Linked DNA regions of Callithrix jacchus. The protein of the gene in region 1 purifies or fractionates together with the protein of each later gene. This does not show direct contact. Links are inferred from orthologs where the notes say so. Each region holds a gene or a part of one and is shown in the gene's direction. Other genes may lie near its edges.

Region 1 (7,737 bases):
GACTGGGTGACAGAGCGAGACTCCATTCTCAAAAAAAAGAAAAGAAAAAGTTAGTTTATGAATTTGTGTTGGGCCATATTTAAAGCTGTCCTGGGTCACAAGCTGCAGGCTGGACAAGCTTGCCTTACTCTGAAATGTTAATGTTGTCTCCATCCCTCTCACTCTCAGGACCCCTCAATACGGAGTCCTTAAAGAGACATCTGCTTTCCCCTATTGAACAAAAGGAGAATTCTTCAGTGGCAGATGGGGATGAGGTTGCATTTGCCTCTTCCCAGCCCTCGGCCCAGGGCAGGCACTCAGATATACTTGGGGAATGGAAGGCATTTTCCAAAAAGACCTCATACCTTGAGATGCCCAGGCCGACTTGTCACTTCAGTGTTCCACACCCCAGGCTTCCAGACTACAGCCCTCTGTGTGAGGGTCCCTCCTTACTCTGTGGCTTGGGCTGTGACACTGACTAGCTGGGCTATCTTCTGCAAGGCTGTGACTCTGCCCATGCCTTCCTGTGTTCAGTTGTAAAATATGGCACAGGACAGCAGCTCTCCAGGGTCCTCAGAAATTCAGCTGCCCCTCCTCCTCTTGCCCTGCTCTAGAATTCCTTGATCCAGAGGCCCAGCAGCCCCCACATGGCCATCTCCAGTCTTGGCAAAGGCGGATCAGACCTAGAGATGCTCATGTTGGGGGTGATAAGGTTAGGCGAGGCCTTGGCATTTGTCCCCATAACAGCTTTAGCCCACAGCCAGATGTTGATGCCTGGAGCCAAGGGGCTGCCTGGAAGGCCCTGGCCTGACTTTAGTGGTTGTCACTTAGGAAGACATGTAGTGCACTAGCCTTGAATACTTAACCCATCTCAGACTCAGTCTGCTCAGATGCAAAAATGCACATCCTAGTGGGCACCTACTTCAATGAGTCGTTATGAGGATTAACGAGGCATTGCATGTAAACAACTGCCTCAGAAAGCTCCCTGCGAATGTGAGCCATTCCTCCTCTGAAGCTCAGGAAAGACAAGCACCTTGTCTAAGATCACAGGGTTAGATAACTGCAGGAGGAGGAATGTAAATCCCCTACTCCAAACAGCAAACACAAAAGAAAACTCCCTGGGAGTGACACCTGAAGGTCAGGGTCCCACATGCTGTTGACCTCTTCCACAGTTGGCACTTCACCTGAGTTTACTAGCTAGCGCTCCGTTTCTCAACAGCCCTGCCCTTAAGCAGGACAGGAATCACGTCTTCCTCCTCCCCTACTTCTTGGGCAAGCAAACTAACCGCCAAGGCACTGAATACAAGTCCGGGTCTCCGCCCCAAAGGGGCTCAGGCTACCGCGTGGCAGAGGGAACCAGAGGGCGAAGAACAGGAGCAAGACAAAACGCTGAGTCTGGGAGGCCAGGACACCGGCCCTTCCATTGCTCGGTGCTCTCGGCCAGTTCCCTGCCCTTCTCAGCCTGTCTTCCACGGTTCCCCAAGGTACAGAAGCTCCCAAGGCGGCTCCAGCAGGACTTTTCGCTTCTGGGGAAGGTGGCGCCCCTGCTACCCGGACCCTCCCACCATGCTGACAAGGGTCGCAATCCTGCGAGTGTAGGGAAACCCCCACTGACTGGAGCGAGAAGGGTGTGGGGGCGAGGCGGGACCCTGCCCCGCACTAGGGCGGAGTCCCCCTCGTTCCCAGGGTGAGGACTGGGCCCACAGAGAGGCACTGACCGGGCTCGAGCGGTGGCCCCGCTGCCTCCGCCTCCGTCCTCATGACCCGGGCGGCGCGGGGCGCCCATGGCCCCAGCCCAGAGCGGGCTACAGCTTCCGCTTCGGCTGGGGCGGGAGGGCGGCCGGTGCGTCTCCAGTTCCTCCGCCGCCACCGCCGCCGATGCGGTGGGGAGAACTGGAGGCGGCGGCTGGGCCTCCCCAAGGCCCGCCCCGGCCCTTCTAGTTCGCGAATCTAAAGGCCCCGCCCCTTCCATAAGCCCCGCCCCAAACTTTGATTCTAGACGCCCCCAGTCTCTCGATTTAAGCCCGCCCCGGCCATTTGCCGCTTCTGCGTCGGGTGGCCCCGCCCCGTCGCCCAATCCTCGCGTAGACGCGCTGCCCACCAGGACACGGGCCCCGGAAGCCCCACCCCTTTCCTTGAGGCCCGCCCCGAAGCTCGTGCACTTAGTGCAGATGCTTCCTAGAGGTTCGTCTCTTCAGCAAACTCCGCCTCTGCCGTGACCCGCTCCTTTGCAGCCTTAGGTGTAAGCACCGGTCCCGCCCAATGCATTGCCGAAGCGCCAAACAACTCTCTTTTTATTTTTTTATTTTTATTTTATTTTATTTTTTGAGACGGAGTTTCGCTCTTGTTACCCAGGCTGGAGTGCAATGGCGCGATCTCGGCTCACCGCAACCTCCGCCTCCTGGGTTCATGCAATTCTCCTGCCTCAGCCTCCCGAGAACCTGGGATTACAGGCACACACCACCATGCCCAGCTAATTTTTTGTATTTTTAATAGAGACGGGGTTTCACCATGGTGACCAGGATGGTCTCGATCTCTTGACCTCGTGATCCACCCGCCTCGGCCTCCCAAAGTGCTGAGATTATAGGCATGAGCCACCGCGCCCGGCCACAACTCTCTTTCAACTGCCTTTAGGGATGATCCTGAGCCGGCCGCCGCCCTACTCTATACCTAATTTTATCCGTACGAGATACCTCGCCCCGCTCAGGGCGCCCCTTACCTAGCGGTGCCGGGATCAAAAAATTAAATTGTGAGGGGGAAGTCCTGGCCCTTGGCCCAACCTCCTGCTGCCCCGGGTCTGACGGCCCAGGCCCCGGGTCTGACGGCCCAGGCCCCGGGTTTCCGCCTTGCAGTCCAGCCTGTCCTTGGTGTGGGGTGCTTGGAAGTGCGAGCACCCTCTGCGGCTCGTTGCCGGCCCAAGGGTCGTTGTTTCCGGCGGCCCTCGGGCCCAGTTATCAGCCGTCTCTTCTGGTGCCGGAACTATCGTAGCGGTGCCCTAGTTTCCCAGCCGGCGGGCGCAGCGAAGAGGAAGCGGAGACGAGACCGCACTTACCAATGGGGAAAGGAAGGAGGTGGGCCCTGCGCGCTGCATTTTGGGAACGATTGGAATTCTGGGAGCTGGGCCCGCCATTCGCTGAACTCACGCCTTAGCCGTAGACTCATTTGCCGCCGCACCGAAGAGGAGAAGGAGGCCGGAGCTGGTGAGGCTGGGGACGGGCAAGGGGGGGTCGAGGGGCCACTCGCTGCATGGAACTCTGCGGGGCTCGGGGAGGGAAGAAAGCGGGAAGCTTGGGCCACCCAGACATCAGCGAGCATCGCCTCACTAGCGCCTAGAAGTAAGTTCATTAGCTTCAGCGTGCATGCTTTCACTTTTTGTATCTCTCCAGGTCAGTGTTTTTCAGAGCTTCCAGGCAGTAATCTTGAAGTCATTTCTGGTTGACTGTCTCCTTTCCCCAAATCCTGTGAGTGCTTTTTTCTGTTTATTTTTTCTTTTTGTTTTGGAGTAGTGATGGGTTTCACCATGTCGCCCTTACTAGTCTTGAACTCCTGGGCTCAAGGGATCTACCGGCCTCGGCCTTCCAAAGTGGTGGGATTATAGGTGTGAGCCACCGCGCCCGGCCGATCATTCTTTTAAAAGTTACTTGCATCTCTGCCTCCAGCCCCCTTTCAGGTAGTGGTCCCCTCATGGTTTCCACACTGTTGCAGAAGTTTTAACAAGTTTCTCTGCTTCTAAACCTTACATTCTATCCATTTTATAAATAAATGCTGCCACTTTTTTTTTTTATTCAAAAAAAATTTTTTTTCTTTTAAAGACGGGTTTTCACCATATTGGTCAGGCTGGTCTTGAACTCCTGACCTCAGGTGATCCGCCCGCCTCAGCCTCCCAAAGTGCTAGGATTACAGGTGTGAGCCACTGCGCCCGGCAGTGCTGCTGCTTTTTTCATTACGTCATTCTTTACTTAAAATCGTGCAGTGGTTCCCCACTATTTTCAGTATAAAATGTAGACTCCTAAAGCTGAAAGCAAGGGATCCTCACCAAAGGAACCTGTTTCTTCAACCTCACGTTCTCCTCTGTTAAGTGCACTTACGTTCCAACTTTGAGTCGTTGCTTATCTCAATAAAAAGTTCACTGCTTGATTCTTTTTTTTTTTTAAAGACGGGCTTTCACCATGTTGGTCAGGCTGGTCTTGAACTCCCGACCTCAGGTGATCCGCTCGCCTTGGCCTCCAAAGTGCTGGGATTACAGGCTTGAGCTACCACGCCTGGCTGCTTGATTCTTTTAATTAGGTCAAATCAGGTGATTTCCCTGATTTTCCTCCATGACAAGCATTTCCTGAATAGAGCATATTGTCACTTTGATATTTCCTCATCTTTGATGGTAAAGTAAGTGAGGGGTTAAAGGGCTGAATTAAAAGTGCAGCCCCCTCTCCTAGGTGTTCATGGGTCCTTTGGTCTGTATCTGCACCTTCCATAGGGGAGCCACTAGCTACATATGGCCATTGAGCACTTGGAATATGGCCACTGGGATTGAGACTGGGTTTTTTATTTTAATTTTATTTTGTTTTAAGTAAGTTTAATTTAAATAGCTACATGTGGACATGAGCTGTATTGGACAGCTCAGGCCTATATAATTTTCAAAATGTAATCATGTACAATTACGGTTGACAATAACAATGCAACAAATAACATTCTAACCCCCACTCCGCAACACGAACAGTATTCGCTAATGGTCATTTAGATGAAGATTAAGGGACATAGGGTAGTAGGGACATGTGGTTGATGGGAGAGGCTCTCTTTTCATTTCTATTTTTATCTCTGTCCAGCCCACCATTCCTTCTCACCCCACATCTTGCACATATTTGCCAGATAGTTTCCTCCAAGCCAGGAGCTGAGTTGTTTTTGTTTTGTTTTATTTTATTTTGTTTTTGTTTTTGTAGAAAATGTAGCTTTGGGCCGGGCGCAATGCTCACGCCTGTAATCCCAACACTTGGGAGACCAAGATGGGTGGATCACGAGATCAGGAGATTGAGACCATCCTGGCTAACACGGTGAAACCCCATACTAAAAAAGTAGCCTGACTTGGTGGGGCAGGAGAATCTCTTGAACCCTTGAGGCAGAGGTTGTGGTAAGCCTAGATTGTGCCACTGCACTCCAGCCTTGGCAACAGAGAGAGACTCTGGCTCAAAAAAAAAAAAAAATTCAGTTTTGGCATTTTTGCTAAGTTTTATGGAGGGCTAGGCCTTGAAGGAAGCACAGTATGTGCTGCATGCCTTCTCAGTCTCTGAATGATGAACTGACTGTTGCCTCTCTCATTAGAACTCTTCCTGCCAAGATGTCTATTGGTGTGCCGATTAAAGTACTGCATGAGGCCGAGGGACACATTGTGACATGCGAAACGAACACCGGCGAGGTATATCGTGGGAAGCTCATTGAGGCAGAGGACAACATGAACTGCCAGGTATCCTGCTTTGCACATGAGGCTATGTGGGAGGAATGGACCTGTGTCTCAGAGGAACGGAAAGGTGTGGGTTGGGGGTCTTTGAAAAAAAATTGTTCTCATTCAGCAATGATTTTCTTTTGTTTGTTTGTTTTTTATTATTTTTATTTTTCTTATTATTTTGTTGTTGTTATTTTTCAGCAATGATTTTCTGAGTGCCTAATGCATGCCAGGCACTGTTGTTACAGGCTCTGGGAATGTGGGCATGAACAAGGCACAGTCTTGAGGCAGGAAAGCCATTGGAGGTTTGGAATATTTTACTTTGTCCTTTTTGTTTTTTCCATCCCCAGAGTTGGGGGCCTATTTGAGGGAAGTGCTACTTCAGTAGAATTCTTCAGATTCAGAGCCATTATCCATTTGCCTTCACTTGCCTTGTGGTTAGCAGAATCTTCTCCCATACTGTATTTGTTTCCCTTTTCTCTTGGAGGGAGAATCTCATTTGATTATTGCAACTACCTTGTGAGGTAAGCAGGTTTGGTGATAGTCTTGACATCCATAAAATAGGGAGAGTGAGATTAAAGGACTCATCACTGATAATAAATAATGGAGTAGTTTCCTGATATGGTGTCCTTCTCATGGCACAACTTGGCCTTTTGCATAGTCATCTGAATTTTTTTTTTTTTTTGAGACAGTTTCGCTCTTGTTACCCAGGCTGGAGTACAATGGTGCGATCTCGGCTCACTGCAACCTCCGCCTCCTGGGTTCAGGCAATTCTCCTGCCTCAGCCTCCTGAGTAGCTGGGATTACAGGCACACACCACCATGCCCAGCTAATTTTCTGTATTTTTAGTAGAGACGGGGTTTCACCATGTTGACCAGGATGGTCTCGATCTTTTGACCTCGTGATCCACCCACCTCGGCCTCCCAAAGTGCTGGGATTACAGGCGTGAGCCACAGCGCCCGGCCCCCGTCATCTGAATTTTTAGAGTATTGTTTTTCAATTATATCTTTACACTTTCTTTGTTTAAACTGTTGGTTAAAAACTTGGGCTTGGGAGTCAGAGATGTGAGTTTGAATCCTAATTATACGACCTTAGATGTATTAACCACTCAGTTTTCTCATCTGTAAAATGGGGGTGATACTATTTTGGGTTCTTTGATATGGATGCCAAGACAGAAATATGCGAGGTATTTATTGGGAGAAATGACAATAAAGGAGCAAGGAAATAGTAGTAGGTAGGGAAATTTTCAGTCTATGATGCTGGTCTGGCTGGTGAAAAGAGAGGCGAAAGGAAGGAGGATTGAGCAGGAAGAGCCTTAGACTACAGCGTAGTTTTGAGGAAGTCTCAGCAAAGCAGCGATTGCTCATTAGAAGAGTCTAGCATGGGGCAGAAATGAGTGGACTCCTACCCCTGGTGTGTTCAGTTTATTGGCTGGCAGCCTGGGGAGAGAGTAGCCTCAGGTTGGATAAGATGGAGACTGCTGGCTTCCTGCACTCCTAATACCCTGTTCTCTTTTGAAGGGAGATCTGATTAGCACATCCCTAAGACTGCCACAGGAGTAATATCTACACCTCCAGGACTTTTAGAAAGATCAGATGAGTTATATGTGTGCAGTAGCTAGCTCAGTGTCTCACATATTGTGTTTAACATATGGTACCTACTGCTTTTTTCCAGATGAGAAGGTCAGAGAGGTAAAGCATCTCACACCACAGTCAGGCATCCTAACCATCCATTGCTTTGCAGGGATCATTTATTTGTGATTTTTCTGTAGCTGTGAGCGTCTGTCATCTTCCTGCAAGGTTGACAAGCTTGGTCAGTTCCCTGGCATGCAGAGGAGTAAATCTCTGGTGACTCAGGTTTATCGCATCACTGTTAATAGATCAGTTTATTGACAGTAGATAGGTTTATCATCTATAACTAGATTGTCAGTAGATCAGTTTATCATCTCTCTTTCATAGATCCAGTCCTGTGGCTTAAGGTGTGCTCATCCTGAGGAGAATGCAAGATTTGGGATAGTGAATCTTAATGTTAATGAGTTTTTCAACTAGCTATATGTATTTGGACGACTTGCTGGGTTTCCAGGGCCTTTGACATCCCGTCCGTAATGTGAAGGTGTCTAACCAGATGACCTTGGTGGTCATTCAGAGACGCAGTCAACATGACACAAAGGGCATAGACCTTGATGTCAGACAGATCTGGAATCTGTTTGTAGCCTGCCACCTACTGTGACTTAGGGTGAGATTTGGACCTCCTTCAATTCTCTGGTCCCTCCTCTAAATAGCTCATTGGCGGCAGGAGGAACCATAGTGCAGAGGATGCAT
Region 2 (7,215 bases), on another chromosome or scaffold:
GAACTCCTGAGTGCAAAGTATCTGCCTGTCTCAGCCTCCCAAAGTGCTGGGATTACAGGTGCGAGTCACCATGCTTGGCCATCTCAGCCATCTTCTTTGCATGAGACATTGTTAGCCTTTGCAGACCTGGGTGGTGAGAGGGAGACCATCCTTGTTGAGCTGAAACCCACTTGGTGTTAAGTGAAACCCTTTGCTGGTGAGAGATGGGCAGTACTGGGTTCAGATGGAGTATGTGGACTGGGTTTGCCATGCCCTTCCTTGTGCCCTCTAGATACTCGCCCTGCACCGGTGAGGCATTTTCTGAGAACCTGTTCCCATCTGAGTAAAGCTGGGACAGTCATAGTTGCCACCTCATGCGGTTGTTGTGAGGAAGTGAAGTAGTCTGTAAGGCATTTGATGGAGATGTGGTGACTCCACGCCTATAATCCCAGCAGTTTGGGAAGCCAAGGCAGGAGGATCACTGGAGCCCAGGAGTTCGAGATCAACCTGAGCAACATAGGAGACCGTGTCTACAAAAAATAAGAAATTAGCCATGTGTGCTGTTGCATACATGTAGTCCCAGCTCCTGTGGAGGCTGAGGTGGGAAGATTGCTCAAGCCTGCAGTAAGCTATCATCATGCCACTGAACTCCATCCTGGGCAATAGAATGATACCCTGTCTTTAAAAAAAAAAACGCTTTATGGTATCCTTTTTTTTTTTTTTTTTTTGAGGCAGAGTTTTGCTCTTGTTACCCAGGCTGGAGTGCAATGGCGTGATCTCGGCTCACCGCAACCTCCACCTCCTGGGTTCAGGGAACTCTCCTGAGCCTCAGCCTCCTCAGTAGCTGGGATTACAGGCACACACCACCATGCCCAGCTAATTTTTTGTATTTTTAGTAGAGACGGGGTTTCACCATGTTGACCAGGATGTTCTCGATCTCTTGACCTCGTGATCCACCCGCCTCGGCCTCCCAAAGTGCTGGGATTACAGGCATGAGCCACCGTGCCCGGCCGATGGTATCTTAAGTCAAATATTTGTAGCCATCCCAGTTAATGTTTCATGACAGGAGGCAGGAAATAGCCACGAAAGAACAGGACGTAGAGTAAGAGTGACATGGGAAGACATTTAGAAATGTGGTCAGAGGTGGCAACATTTCCTCTGAGACCTGGGTGACTAGAAGGAGGCCGCCATGTAAACCTCAGGGGAGGGATTTTCAGATAAAGGGAGCAGCCAGTGCAAAGGCCCTGGGGCAGAATTGGTGTCTCAGGCCTGGGGGCCAGTGTGGTTGGGGATCGAGGTGGAACGTGGATAGGGATGATGAGGTGGGGGAAATTTGCCAGGTTCATGTCATGCAGTCCTGTGTCAGGGTGCTGGTGGCAATGAAAAGAATCACTCATATCTGTTGAGCGTTTACTATGTGCCAGATGCTGTTCTGAGCACTTTGCATGTATGTCCACATGTTTGTTACATAGCAGCTCTCTGGGGTGGGTACTATTACTGTCCAAATCTTACAGAAGCGTATACTTGGCCAGTTGAGTGGTTCCTGGCTGCTTCTGTGATTATTAGGTCTTCAGAGATTGTGGACTCGAGGCATTCTGGGTACCCCGTGAATTGGCTGGTGGTCTTCCATCTTGCTGCACTTCTGAAAGGGGGGCTCAAGGTCTTCTCTTTCATCACTGCAGAGCTAAAGAAGTCCCTGTACGCCATCTTCTCCCAGTTTGGGCAGATCCTGGATATCCTGGTGTCACGGAGCCTGAAGATGAGGGGCCAGGCCTTTGTCATCTTCAAGGAGGTCAGCAGTGCCACCAACGCCCTGCGCTCCATGCAGGGCTTCCCCTTCTATGACAAGCCCATGGTGAGTATTGTGGGTATGGAGGCAGGGTGTGGGTGTGGGTGTGTGAAATGTTATAGGAGACTGGGTGGGCCTGGAGTAGAGGAGGGGATATGAGGGTTAATTGGCCAAGGTGAGGCTGGACCAAGCTCCACTGCACCTTGCCTCATTTCAATAACAAATTTTTGTTTGGCTGGGCACCGTGGCTCATGCCTGTAATTCCAGCACTTTTTTGGGGGGGGTGGGGGGATGTTGTTTTGCTATTGTTGCCCAGGCTGGAGTGCAATGGCATGATCTCGGCTCACTGCAACCTTCACTTCCCAAGTTCAAGTGATTCTCCTGCCTCAGCCTTCCAAGTAGCTGGGATTACAGGTGTGTGCCATCACACCTGGCTAATTTTTTTAATTTTTAGTTCAGAGAGGGTTTCTCCAAGTTGGTTAGTTTGGTCTTGATTACAGGTATGTGCCACCATACCTGGCTAATTTTTTTTTATTTTTAGTAGAGACAGGGTTTCTCCATGTTAGTCAGGCTGGTCTTGAACTCCCGACCTCAGGTGATCCGCCTGCACCTCAGCCTGTCAAAGTGTTACCGTTGTGAGCCACCATTGCCTGGCTTTTTTTTTTTTTGAGACAGTCTTGCTCTGTTGCCCAGGCTGGAGTGCAGTGGTGTGATCTCGGCTCACTGCAACCTCCTGGGTTCAAGTTATTCTCCTACCTCAGTCTCCTGAGTAGCTGGGAATACAGGTGTATACCACCATGCCCAGCTAATTTTTGTATTTTGGATGGAAATGGGATTTTGCCATGTTGGTCAAACTGGTCTCGACCTCCTGGCCCCTGATAAGGTCCAATTTTGAATCTTGGCAATTGGGCTCTGAATCCATGCCCTTAACCCATTCTGCTCTCTGTTTGGTAGCGTATCCAGTATGCCAAGACCGACTCAGATATCATTGCCAAGATGAAAGGCACCTTTGTGGAGCGGGATCGCAAGCGGGAGAAGAGAAAGCCCAAGAGCCAGGAGACACCAGCTGCCAAGAAGGCTGTGCAGGGCGGGGCAGCTGCCCCCGTGGTGGGAGCTGTGCAGGGGCCTGTCCCGGTAAGCCAGGGCCAGCAGACCAACCCTCCTACTGACAGGCTTTCCTTAGCCACATGGACTGGCTTTGGGACAGGGTGGGGAGAGTTCTCCCCGTGGGGCTTCAGACCCCTCCTTTCCATTCCCTTATAGAGATTATGTGTCCGTCTCTCTTTGGGGGGTGTTGAGCCCCTAGATGATACTATCTCCACTCAGAACGCCTGTGTTGAGCCCCTAGATGATACTATCTCCACTCAGAACGCCTGTTCCCGTGTGACTGTTTCTCAGTGTCTTTCTTTCTTCCTGGCTACGTCTTGGTATCGCTGTCTCCTTGGCCTTGATTTTGTTGCCTGTGTCTTTTTGTTGTTGTTGAGATGGAGTCTCACTCTGTTGCCCAGGCTGTAGTGCAGTGGCGTGATCTCAGCTCACTGCAACCGCCACCTCAGGTTTAAGCAGTTCTCCTGCCTCAGGCTCCCAAGTAGCTGGGAGTACAGGCATGTGCCACCACACCTGACTAATTTTTATATTTTTAGTAGAGATGGGGTTTAACCGTATTGGCCAGGCTGGTCTTGAACTCCTGACCTCTTGATCTGCTCGCCTTGGCCTCCCAAAGTGCTGGGATTACAGGGATGAGCCATCATGCTCATCCTGTCTTTTAAGTCATTGTGCATGTAGAAAATCCAAGTATCTACTAAGCAACTGTTAAGATTGGTTTAGAAAGGTCACTGGGTATAAGGGCAATGTGGAAAAAATCAGTTTTATTACGTATTTATTAATTATTATTATTTTGAGACGGAGTTTCGGTCCTACTGCTCAAGCTGGAGTACAGTGGCATGATTTTGGCTCACTGCAACCTCAGCCTCCTAGGTTCAAGTGATTCTCCTGCCTCAGCCTCCCTAGTAAGTAAGTGGGACAACTGGTGGGTGCCACCATGCCATGCTAATTTTTTGTTTTTTTGTTTGTTTTTTTAGTAGAGACAGGGTTTCACCATGTTTGCCAGGCTGGTCTTGAACTCCTGGCCTCAAGTGATCTGCCCACCTCAGCTTCCCGAAGTGCTGGGATTACAGGCTTGAGCCACTGCACCTGGCCCTCACACAATGAAGTTTCTAGAAGAAAACAGGAAAATGTCTTCATGACCTTGGTGAGGGCATGAAAAGTGGAAACATCCTGTTTTCTAAACAGAATACAAAGAGCACTAAGTACAAAAGAAAAGATGGACAAGGCCGGGCATGGTGGCTCACACTTGTAATCCCAGCACTTTGGGAGGCCGAGGCGGTTGGATCACGAGGTCAGGAGTTCAAGACCAGCCTGGCCGACACAGTGAAACCCCATCTCTACTAAAAATACAAAAATTAACTGGCATGATGGCAGGCACCTGTAATCCCAGCTACTTGGGAGGGTGAAGCAGGAGAATTGCTTGAACCCAGGAGGTGGGGGTTGCAGTGAGCCAAGATCACACCACTGCACTCCAGCCTGGACAACAAAGCAAGACTCTGTCTCAAAAAAAAAAAAAGAAAGAAAGAAAGAAAAGATAGACGAACCGGGCCCACTCCTTGGGTCTCTGATCCTCTGTGTCTCTCTGGCTTTTGTCTGTGGCTCTGGCTCTGACTGAGTTGTGCTCTGTTCACTGCCACTCACACTTTCTCCACGTCACCTATGGCGTCCGATTACTGTGGGCTCCTGTTGTTAACCTCTCTCTGCAGTCTTCACTGCACGCAGCTTTCTGTCCACTTTCCACTTCAGATTGTGACTCCAGCCCCTGTCTGTGCTGCCTGCCATCTGCGGTCTTCCCTCTTCCCCTGGCTGCCATGCGTTTCGTTCTGCACCTGCCCTGAGTGTCCCTTGCCATCTCTGCCCTCATTTGTATTTGTTTATATTTTTTGGGACAGATTCTTACTCTGTCGCCCAGGCTGGAGGGCAGTGGTACAGTCTGGGCTCACTGCAACTTCTCCCAGGTTCAAGCAGTTCTCCTCCCTCAGCCTCTCTAGTAGCTGGGATTACAGGTGCCTACCACCAGACCCAGCTAAAATTTGTATTTTTAGTAGGGAGCGGGTAGCACCGTGTTGCCCAGGCTGGTCTCAAACTGCTGGGATCATAGGTGTGAGCCCCCGCGCCCGGCCTACCACACGTTTCTTCCTGCCCCTTCCCTGACTGCCCCTTTCCATCTCCGCCCCTTCCCCGACTGCCCCTTTCCATCTCCGCCCCTTCCCCGACTGCCCCTTTCCATCTCCGCCCCTTCCCCGACTGCCCCTTTCCATCTCCGCCCCTTCCCCGACTGCCCCTTTCCATCTCTGCCCCTTCCCCGACTGCCCCTTTCCATCTCCGCCCCTTCCCCGACTGCCCCTTTCCATCTCCGCCCCTTCCCCGACTGCCCCTTTCCATCTCCGCCCCTTCCCCGACTGCCCCTTTCCATCTCCGCCCCTTCCCCGACTGTACCTTTCCATCTCCGCCCCTTCCCCGACTGCCCCTTTCCATCTCCGCCCCTTCCCCGACTGCCCCTTTCCATCTCTGCCCCTTCCCCGACTGCCCCTTTCCATCTCTGCCCCTTCCCCGACTGCCCCTTTCCATCTCTGCCCCTTCCCCGACTGCCCCTTTCCATCTCTGCCCCTTCCCCGACTGTACCTTTCCATCTCTGCCCCTTCCCCGACTGCCCCTTTCCATCTCTGCCCCTTCCCCGACTGCCCCTTTCCATCTCTGCCCCTTCCCCGACTGCCCCTTTCCATCTCTGCCCCTTCCCCGACTGCCCCTTTCCATCTCTGCCCCTTCCCTGACTGCCCCTTTCCATCTCTGCCCCTTCCCCGACTGCCCCTTTCCATCTCTGCCCCTTCCCCGACTGCCCCTTTCCATCTCTGCCCCTTCCCTGACTGTCCCTTTCCATCTCTGCCCCTTCCCCGACTGCCCCTTTCCATCTCTGCCCCTTCCCTGACTGTCCCTTTCCATCTCTGCCCCTTCCCTGACTGTCCCTTTCCATCTCTGCCTTCCTTTGATTTGGGGCTTTTGTGTTGTTGTTGTTTGTTCTGTTTTGCTTTTGAGACAGACTCTCACTCTGTCACCCAGGCTGGAGTGCAGTGGCACAATCTCTGCTCACTGCTACCTCCGCCTCCCAAGTTCAAGCGATTCCCCTGCCTCATCCTCCTGAGTGGCTGGGGCTACAGGCGCACACCACCATGCCCAGCTAATTTTTTGTATTTTAGCAGAGACAGGGTTTTACCATGTTGGCCAGGATGGTAAAACCTCTATCTCCTGACCATGTGATCCACATGTCTTGGTCTCCCAAAATATTGGGATTACAGGTGTGAGTCACTGCGCCCGGCCTGCTTTTGTTTTATAAGAGATAGTGTCTCGCTCTGCTTCCTAGGCTGGAGTGCTATGGCACAATCATGGCTCACTGCACGCGGTCTTGACCTCCCAGGTTCAAGCGATCCTCCCACCTCAGCCTCCTAAATAGTTGGGACTATAGGGGTATGCCACTGCCCCTGGGGAGTTTTTAAGTTAGCTCTTTCTGATTTAATGTGCCACTAGACCCTCAGTTGGTTTTGCTGTGTCTGGCCCTCTCTGGGTGCCTTTTTCGCCTCTTTCTGGATGTTTTTCCTTGCATTGCTCACCTGCTGGGTTTCCTCTCCTGGCCTCTTCTCTGCCTCCTGGGGAGGCCGTAACCACGGACTCTCCTTCCTCTCCCCACAGGGCATGCCACCAATGACTCAGGCACCGCGAATCATGCACCACATGCCGGGCCAGCCACCCTACATGCCGCCCCCTGGCATGATCCCCCCTCCAGGCCTTGCACCTGGCCAGATCCCACCAGGGGCCATGCCCCCACAGCAGCTCATGCCGGGACAGATGCCCCCTGCGCAGCCTGTGAGTATCTAGTCCCGTCCCCACTCCACCAGGTCTCATATAAATAGAATACAAGACTAGAAAGGGACCAGCTGCGGGGCAGTTGTAGGTTGAGTGGTCTGGGCAGGACCCCCCGAGGGGGTGGTACTGAATGATGAGGATGTAGTAGTGGGGTGGGCCCTGCGCGGAGAGGAATTGGCATGCTGGTTGGAGGGTCCAGAAGGTTAGGGCAGTCTGGAGCGGTGCCAGCACCTAGGTTCATTCTGTGAGCTATCGAGCACCTGCTTATGTGCCAGGCCCCAGGCTGCACTGCAGCGATGCAGCAGGGACTGAGACAGAAACCTCTGCTGTCCTGTGGCCTACAGTCTATAGGGGGAAAGGGATGGGGGACAGATGGGCAGCAGTATGTGGTGCATTGGCTCCATGCAGTGTGAATGATGGAGGAAGGGGCAGCACTGGAGTCCCCCACTAGGCTCAGGGCTCCTGTGTTAACCGGCTCC
Region 3 (7,215 bases), on another chromosome or scaffold:
CACATCCTGCCCTCTGCTCTTCTCTCTGCCAGCAGCCCCTGGCACTGGCCATGAGGATGCCATGGCAGTGTGGGGGAGAGCGCAGGCTTGGGGGTAGAGACCAATGATGGCTCTGCAGAGCTCAGCCTCAGGATGGCGGCGTGGTCCAGGGGAGGCCACGGCCAGGGACAGCGGGGCGTTCTCATGCTGCCGAATTCCTTCCTCATGAAGGGGGCAGGCCATCTTCCTGGAGGCTGCAGTGCCTGATGAATCACAGAGGTCTGGGGTGTGCCTCCCAGCACCGGCCCCTCCTGGGTTCTTGGGGTACATCTTCGAAAGAAGAAGGCCGATTCCCTGCCTTCCCGCACGGTCCCCGGCGGGGGCTTCTGGGTGCTGAGATGAATGGAGGACTGGTTTTGTGTGTGGAGACGCAGGTGCCTCCTTGGCCTGGTGGGACGCTGCTCGCTGGGCTCCCCACACTCATCCCTGATGGGAGTTTCATGCCCCTTGACCAGGAGGTGCTTAAATGTCCTCCAGAGAGAAATTAGGCCCGTCACGAATCTGTCCAGGTGGTGCCCACTAATCCCGCCCGGCCCACGGGCCAGTCAGAGACAGAGCCTCCCAGGCCACCCTGAGCTGGCGCCGCAGCAGGGATGGCGGTGTTGGACTGGCCTGCGGCTGACGGCCCCAGCGCCGGCGCTGATGGGGTGCAGTTCCCCCGGTCCTGAAGAACGCGTGGCCGAGAAGCCCCAGGCAGGGAGGGTCCTGTGGGCCAGAGGGTGGCGTTCCCGGCAGAGGACAGTCCTTCTGGTGCCACCGTCTCCTTTTTCCCATTGGAATGTTGTCTGTGAAGGGATAGCGATGGTCACGATGGTGGTTTCTTGACGTTTACGTGACAATATGTGAAAATGGGCGTCTCCAGGGGGGCTTTCGTGGCGTCTGAACTTGTCACTGTGATGCTGCAGTGAGCTCGGCAGCCTGTCCCACCGGTTACCACACTGGATCGTTGTCATAAACTAACTGGGTGGGAGGGTCCTGGGCCCCCACAGCTGAGGAGTGACCTCAGGTCCCACCGCAGGTCAGCAGCCCGTCCCACCGGTTACCACACTGGATCGTTGTCATAAACTAACTGGGTGGGAGGGTCCTGGGCCCCCACAGCTGAGGAGTGACCTCAGGTCCCACCGCAGGTCAGCAGCCCGTCCCACCGGTTACCACACTGGATCGTTGTCATAAACTAACTGGGTGGGAGGGTCCTGGGCCCCCACAGCTGAGGAGTGACCTCAGGTCCCACCGCAGGTCAGCAGCCCGTCCCACCGGTTACCACACTGGATCGTTGTCATAAACTAACTGGGTGGGAGGGTCCTGGGCCCCCACAGCTGAGGAGTGACCTCAGGTCCCACCGCAGGTCAGCAGCCCGTCCCACCGGTTACCACACTGGATCGTTGTCATAAACTAACTGGGTGGGAGGGTCCTGGGCCCCCACAGCTGAGGAGTGACCTCAGGTCCCACCGCAGGTCAGCAGCCCGTCCCACCGGTTACCACACTGGATCGTTGTCATAAACTAACTGGGTGGGAGGGTCCTGGGCCCCCACAGCTGAGGAGTGACCTCAGGTCCCACCGCAGGTCAGCAGCCCGTCCCACCGGTTACCACACTGGATCGTTGTCATAAACTAACTGGGTGGGAGGGTCCTGGGCCCCCACAGCTGAGGAGTGACCTCAGCTCCCACCGCAGGTCAGCAGCCCGTCCCACCGGTTACCACACTGGATCGTTGTCATAAACTAACTGGGTGGGAGGGTCCTGGGCCCCCACAGCTGAGGAGTGACCTCAGGTCCCACCGCAGGTCAGCAGCCCGTCCCACCGGTTACCACACTGGATCGTTGTCATAAACTAACTGGGTGGGAGGGTCCTGGGCCCCCACAGCTGAGGAGTGACCTCAGGTCCCACCGCAGGTCAGCAGCCCGTCCCACCGGTTACCACACTGGATCGTTGTCATAAACTAACTGGGTGGGAGGGTCCTGGGCCCCCACAGCTGAGGAGTGACCTCAGGTCCCACCGCAGGTCAGCAGCCCGTCCCACCGGTTACCACACTGGATCGTTGTCATAAACTAACTGGGTGGGAGGGTCCTGGGCCCCCACAGCTGAGGAGTGACCTCAGGTCCCACCGCAGGTCAGCAGCCCGTCCCACCGGTTACCACACTGGATCGTTGTCATAAACTAACTGGGTGGGAGGGTCCTGGGCCCCCACAGCTGAGGAGTGACCTCAGGTCCCACCGCAGGTCAGCAGCCCGTCCCACCGGTTACCACACTGGATCGTTGTCATAAACTAACTGGGTGGGAGGGTCCTGGGCCCCCACAGCTGAGGAGTGACCTCAGGTCCCACCGCAGGTCAGCAGCACAGCTGGCCTGTACCTCAGCGTGCTCCTGCACACCTGCGGCCGCTGTGGCAGATCACCGAAGACGCGGCAGTTCAGGTGACGTGGCTGCATCCGCTTCTGGATCTGGGGCTGGAAGTGCAAACAGTCCCTGAGGCTCCATCCCTTCTGTTAGCGGAACTCTTCCCGCCTTTCCCCTCGTCCTCCCTGTTCACAGCACAGCACAGCCTCTCTGTCCCCCAGCCTCCCCCTCCTCTCGGGAGGATGCTGAAAGGATCACCCGTTGTTTTAAGATCCTCAGGCCCACCTGCGCTTCCCTTTCCTGCCGTGTGAGGGTTCGCAGGGCCCAGGGGTTCGCATGTGGACGGACGTCTTTGGGGGCCATGAATGATTCACTCGGTCTCCTGAGCTCACCCAGGGCCTTTAAACCAGGGCCCGGGGCAGGTGTTGAAGGGGCAGGGAAAAGCGTCAGGAGAGGAGGGGAAGCTGCCTGGAGCTTGGGTCTGCCTGGAGCCTGAGGGTGTGGAGCAGCGGCAGAGGGCTGCGGCGGGAAGCGGGTGTTTGGGACTCAGGAGAGCCCTCCTGCGCCACAGGCAGATGTGGCTGATCTCCCGGTGTTACCCAGTGAGGACCGGAAGATCCACGTCTCCCTCTCTGCCCAGAAAATTCACAGCCGATTCCGAGAGATAGAACTCAGGTTGGGACAAGTAAGCGTAGCCAACCCTAGAGGGAGTTGAGAGGAAGGTGTGAACACTGGGGGCTCGGGCAGTCCCGATGGCTTCCTGGAGGTGGTGACTCGGTGGTGAGAATTTGGCCGCCTCTTCCCTGGTTGTGCCTTCTCTGACTCCCTGTCGCCATTTCAGGTCTCCAGGCCTTGGCACCGTGGGCTGGAGTGGCTTCCCCTCCACCCTCCTGCACGGTCAAGAGGCAGGCTCCAGCTTCCTCATGTCTGTGCCCGGCCCACAGTGGGCCCTGGCACCCTGGAAGAGAGTCAGTGCACTAGCAGGTGGCCCCTCAGGGCTGGTGAGACCCTGGCGCTGGGAGTGCAGGGTGAGGAGCAGTCTTGCTGGCCCCAACCTGACTGCCCGGCCCTGGGGTGGCAGCAGCAGCCCCGAGTTCTAGCCGTCCTTCTCAGTCTCCTCTTGGCCTCCACAGGCTGGGTGCCCCAGGAGGTCCCAGCAGCAGCCCCGCCTTCTCAGCCGTCTTCACACTCCTCCACAGGTGTCTCCCAGTCTGCTGAAGCCCGGAGGCCGTCACCATGGACTTCCAGCATCGCCCTGGGGGCAAGACCGGGAGCGGGGGCGTGGCCTCCTCCTCCGAGAGCAACCGTGACCGCAGGGAGCGCCTCCGGCAGCTGGCCCTGGAGACCATCGACATCAACAAGGTGGGCGGCCGGCTGGGCAGGGCGATGCAGCCGCAGCTCCCATCCAGCCACGCCAGGCAGCAGACCCTCTGTGGCTCTGAGCCCCGGGTGGAAATGGTGGGCTCTGTGCAAAGCCTTGTTGGGCATCATCCAGTTTGTGGAAATGGGGGGAGCTGATGTCGGTCCAGTCAGATGCAGTGAAGGCTCTGGTTTTACCTTGTGCAGAGGTGGGGTGGGCCGGGTCCCCCTCAGCACTGTGGACGTCGGGGCTGCAGCACTGGGCTGGGGCCGTCCCGGGCACTGTAGGGTGCCAAGCAGCATCCCTTCCCCCACTGGCTCCGTGCCAGGAGCTCCCCCCATCGGGACAAACACAGATGTCCCCAGACACCGCCCAGGCCCCTGTGAGGGTGGATCCCAGCCGAGACCCTGCCAGCGTGCGCTTCCTTAGGTTTGGATGCCACCAGGACCCACCAGTGCCGTGTTCCCTGACATGCCCCACGGGCCTGGCCTGCAGCATAGGCTCTGTGACGTTCCTTGTCTTCCAGATGAGATCACGGTGGAGGGGTGCCAGGCCGCAGGGGGTGGAGTTAGGGTTTGAACTCCAGGGTCTGAGACGAGAAGTGTGTGCCTGCCTGCCCCAGTTCAGGGCCCGTGGATGCGCGTGGCCTTCCATGTCACCCATTGCTTTTCTCATCCCTGCGTCTGCCTTGTGCTGACCCCTGGCCTGGTGGCGTGGACAGCGGACGGCTCCTTGCATCAGAGTGACAGGCGCTGCTGTCCTGGCTCTGCCTCTCTGCCTCAGAACCACCAGGAAGGTGGTGCCAGGGCTCCCTGGGAACCCACTGCTCAAAGCCTAGGCCACAGCCCCAGGTGGCCACACGCGTGCTCACGAGGCCCCTCGCCAGATCCATCAGGGACAGCCAGGCCTCCACAGAAAGGGGGTCCCACCTCTGAGGGCCCCGACCGCAGGGCAGGCCATTATCTTCTGTCTAACGGGGTACCTGTTCTTCCCTTCCAGGACCCGTATTTCATGAAAAACCACCTGGGCTCCTATGAATGCAAGCTCTGCCTAACGCTTCACAACAACGAGGTGCGGCCCGTGCTGTCCCCTCGGCCTCGAGTCACGCGTGTTTCCTGCCCCGTGTCTGTCCCCTCAGCCTCGAGTCACGCGTGTTTCCTGCCCCGTGTCTGTCCCCTCGGCCTCGAGTCACGCGTGTTTCCTGCCCCGTGTCTGTCCCCTCGGCCTCGAGTCACGCGTGTTTCCTGCCCCGTGTCTTGCCCCCTCGGCCTCGAGTCACGCGTGTTTCCTGCCCCATGTCTTGCCCCCTCGGCCTCGAGTCACGCGTGTTTCCTGCCCCGTGTCTGTCCCCTCGGCCTTGAGTCACGCGTGTTTCCTGCCCCGTGTCTGTCCCCTCGGCCTCGAGTCACATGTGTTTCCTTTCCACTCCAGGGGAGCTACCTGGCACATACCCAGGGGAAGAAGCACCAGACCAACTTGTGAGTACCTCGCCCGCGTCTCACCGGCTGCTCCAGCAGCCCGTCTCCATGAGCCCCCGGGCCACGGCTCCACAGCGTGGAAACCAGCCTGGCCTGGGCCTGAATGGGCGCTGGAGTAAGGTCTCTGGGGAGCATTAGGGAACATAGGCTGTATTGCTGAGGTGGGTGGATCACCTGAGGTCAGGAGTTCGAGACCAGCCTGGCCGACATGGTGAAGTTCCATCTCTACTAAACATAGAAAACTCAGCTTGGCACAGCAGTGCACACCTGTAATTCCAGCTACTCTGGAGGCTGAGGCAGGAGAATCTTGAACCTGGGAGGCGGAGGTTGCAGTGAACCAAGAGGGTGCCATTACACTCCAGCCTGGGCAACAAGAGTGAAACTCTGTCTCAAAAAAAAAGAGAAGAGCAGAGGCGTGGGGTTGTGGGAAGGGCCCCAGGCAGGGACAGTGCAGCGTGACAGGAAGAGAACATCCCTGTCCCACCCCTGTCCTGGTCCAAACCCCAGGGCCCCTCCCCGGCCCCTGGCCCTCCTCATCCCTTGGTGTGTAGTGAGCTCTGAGGTCGGGGCTACCAGTCCCTGGGCCCGTGTCCCTGGTGCCTGTGCGTGGAGGGCCCCAGCACCATGTCCATCCTGCCCGCAGGGCCCGGCGAGCCGCCAAGGAGGCCAAGGAGGCCCCCGCCCAGCCTGCACCTGAGAAGGTCAAGGTTGAGGTGAAGAAGTTTGTGAAGATCGGCCGCCCCGGCTACAAGGGTGAGTCTGCCGCCTCGTGAATGGGTTTGGGCTCCGGCACGGAAGCCACAGCCCTGAGACCCCGTCCCCGAGCTGCTGTTTGATGGCCTTGGCGGCCATCCTTCACCCGCCTGCAGCGTCTGGCGCTGTGTCTGGGAGCTGTCAGGCTGGACGCGATAAGCACCCATCTCACCCAGTGGCCCCTTCCCCAGCAGAGCCCCAGTCTGTGCCCTCCTTGCCTGGCCGCCTCTGTGCCTGGGGCTCCTGGTATGTGAGTGGCGGCCCCTCTGTGCCTCGCAGTCCAGTGTTGTAGAAGCTTCTGGGAATTCTTGCCAAGCAAGAGTGGAAGTGGGGGTGTGGCGAGCCTGACGCCTCTCTCCCGTTAACCTTGAAACTGGGTTCCACTCGTCTTAGCCTCGGAAGGAAGAGGACGGGGAGCAGCGGCTGTTAGGGGCGGCTCCGTCTGGGACCCTCAGCAGTGGAAATGGTTGCCAGTTCAGAAAGCTGCGATGGAAGATAGAGACGTGTGTCCGCGGGGGGGCGGGAAGGCGGGAAGGCGGGGACGCCCCGTGTGCCCGGCCTCCCGACAGCAGCGTGTAGGGCAGAGGCCCGGGGCAGGTGCGCTGGATGGCGAGGGCAGGTGCAGCTTGAGCTGCAGGCCCCGGCCGGGAGGCCCTGACAGGTCCTGGGCTTGGGCTCAGGGCAGTGGGGAGGCAGGGGGCTTGTGAGTGTGCATGCCGGACACTGCGTGGAGAGAGCCAGGTGGCCTGGCAGGGACTCAGCCCCCACCCCAGCAGCCGTTCCTGGGGTCCAGGCGGCTGAGCGCTCACCCCACACACGTGTGGGCCCTGTTCAGGCAGCCCCACTTGAGTCCCAGAGCAGGGTGCCGAAGGGCCCTTCCTGCCCGGTGACCCTGACTGGCTGGTGGTGTCCCAGCACCCGAGGGTGAAGAGCTCTGAGGATGGGGACAAAGGAGCACCCACCTCGGTCCCTGCCTGAGTGACTCGCAGGTAGCTCAGCCCTGGCGCACCTGTGCCTTCACTATAGCAGCGTCCCAGAGACCAAGAGCACAGGCAGAGTCCAGCGGCTGCCTGGAGGCCCAGGGCCTCCCCCGGGGTCCTGCCCTCTCTCAGTGGGTGGCACTAGCCCGTCCCAGGTCCCTGAGCTTCAGGGAGGACAAGCGGCTGGGACCTGAGAGCCTTCTGTGTTGCAGTGACCAAGCAGAGGGACTCGGAGATGGGCCAGCAGAGCCTCCTCTTCCAGGTGAGCTC
Region 4 (6,538 bases), on another chromosome or scaffold:
GGGAAGAGAGCGGGGTCCAGGCGGGGGGTATTAAGCCCCTTGATCCCCCTTGTTGCCCCGACTGGGACGGAATAAGGGGAGGAAATGATCGAGATGGCCGCGGAGAAGGAGCCGTTTTTGGTGCCGGCCCCGCCGCCGCCGCTCAAAGATGAGTCTGGCGGAGGGGGCGGCCCCACGGTGCCACCGCACCAAGAAGCCGCCTCCAGGGAGCTCCGCTGCGGGACGGAGCGTGGGCCGGGTCCTCGCGCGCCGTCTGCGGGGTCCCCGGCCTTTGGGGTCGGCAGGGAGAGCCCCGGGGCCGCGGCCAATCCCCGGGGCGGCCCCCAGGCGCAGTCGCACGGAGAGGCCCGCCTGTCGGATCCCTCGGGGCGAGCCGCTCCTCCGGACGTGGGGGAGGAGCGCCGGGGAGGGGGCGGGACAGAGCTGGGTCCCCCTGCCCCCCCTCGACCCCGCAATGGCTATCAGCCCCACCGGCCACCTGGGGGAGGCGGGGGCAAGAGGAGAAATAGCTGTAATGTAGGGGGAGGCGGAGGAGGTTTCAAACATCCGGCCTTCAAGAGGCGCAGGCGAGTGAATTCGGACTGTGACTCTGTGTTACCCTCCAACTTCCTCCTGGGGGGCAATATCTTTGATCCCCTGAACCTGAATAGTCTCCTGGATGAGGAAGTGAGCCGCGCCCTCAACGCGGAGACCCCTAAGTCATCCCCCCTTCCGGCCAAAGGGCGAGATCCAGTGGAGATCCTCATCCCCAAAGATATTACTGACCCGCTCAGCCTCAATACTTGCACTGATGAGGGCCATGTAGTTCTTGCTTCGCCACTCAAGACTGGTCGGAAGCGGCATAGACACCGGGGACAGCACCACCAGCAGCAGCAGGCAGCCGGAGGGAGTGAGACCCACCCGGTGCCGCCCACAGCCCCTCTCACCCCCTCACTCCACGGGGAGGGCACCACACAGCACCCGCGGCACAGGGGCCAGAACCGGGATGCCCCCCAACCCTATGAACTCAACACAGCCATTAACTGCAGGGATGAAGTGGTGTCTCCCCTTCCATCTGCTCTGCAGGGTCCCTCAGGCTCCCTATCAGCCCCTCCAGCTGCCTCATTTACCTCTGCACCCCCGTCTTCCTCCTCCCGACATCGCAAACGTCGCAGGACTTCCAGCAAGTCGGAGGCAGGGGCTAGGGGTGGAGGCCAGGGTTCCAAGGAAAAGGGCCGAGGGAGTTGGGGAGGTCGCCACCACCAGCACCCACTGCCTGCAGCAGGCTTCAAAAAGCAACAGCGCAAGTTCCAGTATGGGAATTATTGCAAGTACTATGGGTATCGCAATCCTTCCTGTGAGGATGGGCGCCTTCGGGTGTTGAAGCCTGAGTGGTTTCGGGGCCGGGACGTCCTAGACCTCGGCTGCAATGTGGGCCATCTGACCCTGAGCATTGCCTGCAAGTGGGGCCCGTCCCGTATGGTGGGCCTAGATATAGATTCCCGCCTCATCCATTCTGCCCGCCAAAACATCCGACACTACCTGTCTGAGGAGCTGCGTCTCCCACGCCAGACTTTGGAAGGGGACCCAGGGGCAGAGGGTGAGGAAGGGACCACCACTGTCCGAAAGAGGAGCTGCTTCCCAGCCTCGCTGACTGCCAGCCGGGGCCCCATCGCTGCCCCCCAAGTGCCCTTGGATGGAGCGGACACATCAGTCTTCCCCAACAATGTTGTCTTCGTCACGGTAAGAGGGTCCAGAGGCTCTTGGAATAGGGGCCAAGTGTGAAGATGAGATTAACTGGGAATGTAGCAGGGAAGGTTATGACCCAGATCCTTTAAAAGGGGGGTCTGGGTTGGCAAGTGAGAGCCTCTGCTGGGCATCTCTTCCCTTTTATAACCCGGAAAGGTGATCTCTCTACCTTGGGGCCTTGACCCTGGAGTCCTTTCTCATGACCTCAAGGGTCTCCAAAATAGAGGAGGACTTTTTTTGCCCAGCTCCTGGCTTGGCCTATAATCCACACTGGTCCACCTTCCCTTTAAGGCTGCTGTTACTGCTCACTAGGGGATTCAATCCAGCTGGAACTTGGTCCTCAGATTTACTGAAGAAGCCTGAGAATGGGAGTCAGGCATGGAATGTCTTCTGGGGAGATTAGGGTAGCGGCAGACTAATACTGGCATTTCTGCCCATTGATAGAGACCTTGTTCTCATCAACAGCTTTTGTTTTCCTAGACAGTTTGTTGAAGAGTGTCAGGAACCCAAGTGGCTTGGCTGTAGATCCTCTCCACACTGACCCTAGATAGTAGGAGAGGGAAGAGCCAGAAACTACACAGAGAGGAGAGTCCCATGCCCACCACAGTGTCCCCTGACTGCACACAGCTCTCGGAAAACATCCCAGTTAGGCCGTCTGCTGGGATCTTTGGCATTGTGTTGGGTTAAGCCTGAAGAATGGTCTTTCTAGAGGGCTGTGATGAGCTTATCTTCTAGAAAAGGTTTCCTGAAGGATGTGGCTCTTCATATCTCTCAGAGGAAGCAAAGAATAGGCCTGAAACTTTGCCAACCCCAACTGCAGAGAAGGAACCACAGGTCTGCCTGTGGTTTGAAACCTGGGTTAGTTAGTTATCCTTGCAACTAATTGCAGTCATTCCACCTAAAGTCTGTGGGTGAGAATAAGCACGGGATAGGGTCCTGGGACCTCAGCTTTGGAAGACTTCATGGATAATTTGCACCATTTAAAATTACCCAGGCTCCCTCTAGACGTTTTTTGGCTTACACCAGTAGGAAGAAGCAGAGGCCAGGAAGGTGTAGAGGAGAAAACAAAACTCAAAGAGGGCCCCTTTTGGGAGTTAGTCTGAGAAGAATATGACCATGGGCTAAAGTGAGGCTACAGGACTGTGTGTCGGCCTCAGGGCAGGTTGCCTGGAAGCAGGGGTTCTTTGATTCCCTCTGTTGACCTCACTGCCGATTCCTGCCCCCAGGGTAATTACGTGCTGGATCGAGATGACCTGGTGGAAGCCCAAACACCTGAGTATGATGTGGTGCTCTGCCTTAGCCTAACCAAGTGGGTGCATCTGAACTGGGGAGATGAGGGCCTGAAGCGCATGTTTCGCCGGATCTACCGGCACTTACGGCCTGGGGGCATCCTGGTCCTAGAGCCCCAACCCTGGTCATCCTATGGCAAGAGAAAGACCCTTACGGTGAGTTGGATGTGATGGAAATGGGGAATAATCCTTTGGTTGAGGCAAGAAAAGGCCTCAGGGAATAGAGAAGGAATTTCTGAACAAGGTGAAAAGGCCCTCCGGCTGGGCATCACTCTTGGCCATGGGAGGTGGCCAGCATGCTAAAGTGGTCCTTTGCTTCTCTCCTTAGGAAACAATCTACAAGAACTACTACCGAATCCAGCTGAAGCCAGAGCAGTTCAGTTCCTACCTGACATCCCCAGAAGTGGGCTTCTCCAGCTATGAGCTTGTAGCCACACCCCACAACACCTCTAAAGGTAAGGCTGGTTTATTTTGTTGGGAAGGCTTGTCCTGACTGATAGAGTTCAGATCCCATGGGGAGGTGCTGCCAACCCCTTCTGATCACTGTCTCTCCCCTCAGGCTTCCAGCGTCCTGTGTACCTGTTCCACAAGGCCCGATCCCCCAGCCACTAAGTGGCCCCTTGAACAGAAAGTGTGAAGAGGCTGCCTTCGCTGCTCATAAGGACCTGGGGGAAGAGGAAAGCGTCCCAAGGTCTTTCCTTTCTGACTCCAAAAATAGTTTTCTTCTTGGATCTGCAAAGAAAGCTTTTCTTCCGTCGCTGCCGCTGCCTCAGCCTCCTCCCTACGCCTCTGACACTTGTGCAGCAAGGCTGGCTGTGCTGGAGTCCCCATCTTCCTCTCCCACAGCCTGCCAGGCTGGATGGCATGGACTGTTTGCTGACCTCTGTTCTCCTAGGGCATGGGAGGTGGAAGGATATAAAATTCTCTAGCCCTTTCCTCCTATTCTCCCAAGGAGAGAGATTCCCATATCTCAGCCCTTTTCCCTAGCTGCATTTCAGTGGACCATGGATAGGTGGACTGAAGGTTAGAGGGGGAAGCCTGGTAGGGAGGCACGAAGGTACTGTGAAAATCTTTCCCTCTGCTGTCCCCCAGTGGGAGAGGGGGTTGGGTTTTGAATGTGAGAACAGCACAATAAACTTGATGTCTAGGGCAGTGGCCCCCACACTTGTGTTGGGTATTTTATAGCTGGTGGGGAAGACGTGGTGCTTCCTCTTCCGTCTCAAGGAAGACAATTTTTCAGTGGCTGGGTTGATTGTTGCATGCTAGCCAAGTCCACACAAAAGTACACAGAAGCCTAGAAAGGCAAAGTATGTAATGCAAATTTTGGTGTGTAACTTGGAGTCTGCCTTCTCTCCCCAAAAAAGCCCTGTGAGGGCCTTGGGCAGAAGGCTAACTCTGATTTTTGTTTTCCTGAGATGGAGTTTCACTTTGTTACCCAGGCTGGGGTGTGCGATCTCAGCTCACTGTAACCTGCGCCTTCCAGGTTCAAGCAGTTCTCCTGCCTCAGGCTCTGGAGTAGCTGGGATTACAGGCCACAAGCCCAGCTAATTTTTTGTATTTTTAGTAGAGTTGGGGTTTCACCATGATGGCTAGGTTGGTCTCAAACTCCTGACCTCAGGTGATCCGCCCACCTCAACTTCCCAAAGTGCTTACAGGCGGAAGCCACCTCGCCCGGCCAGAAGGCTAACTTGTCAATGGAGGTAGGAAAAAGTGCTTTGGATCAAATACTCATAGATAGACCAGACACCTTTTTGGTGCTGTGGAATCAGATTTATAGGCAATTAACATGAAGCTCTTCAGGGGCTTGTCAGGTGTCACTGGAACTTGGAACTTTACTCAGGTGCAACAGGATAGGCAAGGCCCTTAAAGGTGAAAAGGAGATAAGTTAGTAACTCAGTGCAAGCAGCGGGCTTGCAGGCTCCTGAGACAGGTTATCAGAGAACGCCTTCGTGAATTGTGATAGGCTAGGCCCTGCATTTCCACAGATCAGAATGAGTGGTACAGAGAACAATTGCCTGATATAAAACAGGCATTAGCTGTGGCTGAAGTCAGGGAGAGGTGGGTAAGGTTGTGAACTGAGGGGCATCTAAACCTCTAACGTGGACAGTTTTCTATTTGCCATGACTCCACCAAGTTCCTAAAAAGCCTCCAAACTCAACTTCAGGCAGCTTCCAACCTGAGGCTAAGTGGACAAACCCCCTAGAGAGATTTTAGGCCTCCAAGAAGAGTCCCATTTATTAGCAAAATTACTTTATTCTGACAAATAGTTTAACACAAAAATACGAACTAGCCCGCCAAGGATCGTCGGGGTCTATGCTTCCCATCGCCTCAGTGTCCGGTGCATGAGGAACGTGTCCTCTGAAGGGCGGGGCCGGAGTTGAAGCCGGAGAGGGGGCAGACCGTCCAGGGTCAGGTGTGGAGATTCATAAAATAGTGTTTCTGGGTCACACAAGATGGTCATGTCTGGCCCCGGCCCAGGTGGTTCCTGTTGGGAGGTGGGGCCCAAAGCAAGGTTACACTGGGAGAAAGGATCCGGGGAAGAGGGTACATGGAGGAAGCCCCACGCCCAGATCGCATCACCTTCGGGGGCGGGGCTCGAGCCTGCGGCGGCAGGAGAGCCAATTTCTCCCTGAGCGCGGCGTTCAGAACCTGTTCCTCCGGCACCTGCAGGCTCACCAGGTCTCGGAAGAGCCTCCTGGAGCGCGGCACGTTCAGCCCTGAGAGCGCAGCGGGGACAGAGGTGAGCGGTGCCCCCTCGCCCTGACTCCCGCGCGCGCGGCCTGCCGCCCGCCCCCCTCACCCTCAGACACGCTCTCCTCCAGGCCGCAGCGGATCTGGAACGACTTTCTCAGCTGTTCCTCCACGGCTTTCGCGGCATCAAAGTGACTCCCGGCTGCGGCTCTCAGCTCCAGACCCAAGGCCAGGCTGCTCTGCAGCGCGGGCATCTCCAGCTCCTGCGACGCCGCGGGCTGCGGCTCGGACCGCACCGGGGAAGGTGGTGCCAGGCGGAAACGGACCTGGGAGCAAAGGGCAGGGCGGTGACCAGGTGGGCGCGGGGCCATCGCGGGCCGTGGGCCAGCCTCCCTCGCTCACCTGCCGCCGCTGCCGACCAGCACCCCGCCGCTCCGCCCGCTCCTTCCGCCGCCCAGGTCTGTCATGCGGCGGCTTGGGGCTGTCAGGCTGCGGACTCAGGCTCAAGTCCAGGCCGGGCTCGGGCACTGGGGCTCGGGGTTCCGGGACTCGGGGCTCCGGGGGTGGCCCCGGGACCGCTGCGGCTTCTTCCCCGTCCACCGACTCCAACTCTGAGTCCCCACAGCCTATCATTGGAGATGCCTTGGGGATGCGGGGGGGGGGTCTCAGGCGGTCCAAGTTTAGGGTGCACAGCCTCTGGCCACCTTCACCTCTCCCCCGCCCCTCCCAGACGCCGCTACCGGAAACCGTTAACCCTTACCTTCGGGGGCGGAGTCGGCAACCCCGCCCACCCTATTGGCGCTCCCAGACGTCATTCTCTTCTCCCCGCC

Evidence for each region. Proteins that work in one complex are often made in the same cells at the same time.
Region 2: the proteins of SNRPD3 (region 1) and SNRPA purify together in Homo sapiens (affinity purification with mass spectrometry; 3 studies listed by BioGRID and IntAct, with this or other methods). This does not show direct contact. The link is inferred for Callithrix jacchus from reciprocal best matches to the Homo sapiens genes SNRPD3 and SNRPA.
Region 3: the proteins of SNRPD3 (region 1) and SF3A2 purify together in Homo sapiens (affinity purification with mass spectrometry; 4 studies listed by BioGRID and IntAct, with this or other methods). This does not show direct contact. The link is inferred for Callithrix jacchus from reciprocal best matches to the Homo sapiens genes SNRPD3 and SF3A2.
Region 4: the proteins of SNRPD3 (region 1) and MEPCE purify together in Homo sapiens (affinity purification with mass spectrometry; 3 studies listed by BioGRID and IntAct, with this or other methods). This does not show direct contact. The link is inferred for Callithrix jacchus from reciprocal best matches to the Homo sapiens genes SNRPD3 and MEPCE.

What each region holds. Positions count from the first base shown.
Region 1 is NC_133502.1:195,104,623-195,112,359, forward strand, and holds the start of SNRPD3 (small nuclear ribonucleoprotein Sm D3), read left to right. Parts: upstream 1-3,083; 5' UTR 3,084-3,179; intron 3,180-3,365; exon of another isoform or gene 3,366-3,440; intron 3,441-5,295; 5' UTR 5,296-5,311; coding exon 5,312-5,437; intron 5,438-7,737. Other genes in the region: protein GUCD1, read right to left, coding at 1,698-1,951. UniProt on the Homo sapiens protein: Plays a role in pre-mRNA splicing as a core component of the spliceosomal U1, U2, U4 and U5 small nuclear ribonucleoproteins (snRNPs), the building blocks of the spliceosome.
Region 2 is NC_133523.1:36,298,298-36,305,512, forward strand, and holds part of SNRPA (U1 small nuclear ribonucleoprotein A), read left to right. Parts: intron 1-1,661; coding exon 1,662-1,834; intron 1,835-2,722; coding exon 2,723-2,902; intron 2,903-6,562; coding exon 6,563-6,736; intron 6,737-7,215. UniProt on the Homo sapiens protein: Component of the spliceosomal U1 snRNP, which is essential for recognition of the pre-mRNA 5' splice-site and the subsequent assembly of the spliceosome. U1 snRNP is the first snRNP to interact with pre-mRNA.
Region 3 is NC_133523.1:2,122,622-2,129,836, forward strand, and holds part of SF3A2 (splicing factor 3A subunit 2), read left to right. Parts: intron 1-2,313; exon of another isoform or gene 2,314-2,451; intron 2,452-3,573; 5' UTR 3,574-3,610; coding exon 3,611-3,736; intron 3,737-4,733; coding exon 4,734-4,805; intron 4,806-5,165; coding exon 5,166-5,212; intron 5,213-5,855; coding exon 5,856-5,965; intron 5,966-7,157; coding exon 7,158-7,207; intron 7,208-7,215. UniProt on the Homo sapiens protein: Component of the 17S U2 SnRNP complex of the spliceosome, a large ribonucleoprotein complex that removes introns from transcribed pre-mRNAs.
Region 4 is NC_133503.1:13,291,393-13,297,930, reverse strand, and holds the end of MEPCE (7SK snRNA methylphosphate capping enzyme), read left to right. Parts: 5' UTR 1-84; coding exon 85-1,722; intron 1,723-2,954; coding exon 2,955-3,173; intron 3,174-3,345; coding exon 3,346-3,472; intron 3,473-3,576; coding exon 3,577-3,629; 3' UTR 3,630-4,179; downstream 4,180-6,538. Other genes in the region: PPP1R35 (protein phosphatase 1 regulatory subunit 35), read right to left, coding at 5,329-5,502, 5,598-5,734, 5,818-6,034, 6,111-6,341. UniProt on the Homo sapiens protein: S-adenosyl-L-methionine-dependent methyltransferase that adds a methylphosphate cap at the 5'-end of 7SK snRNA (7SK RNA), leading to stabilize it.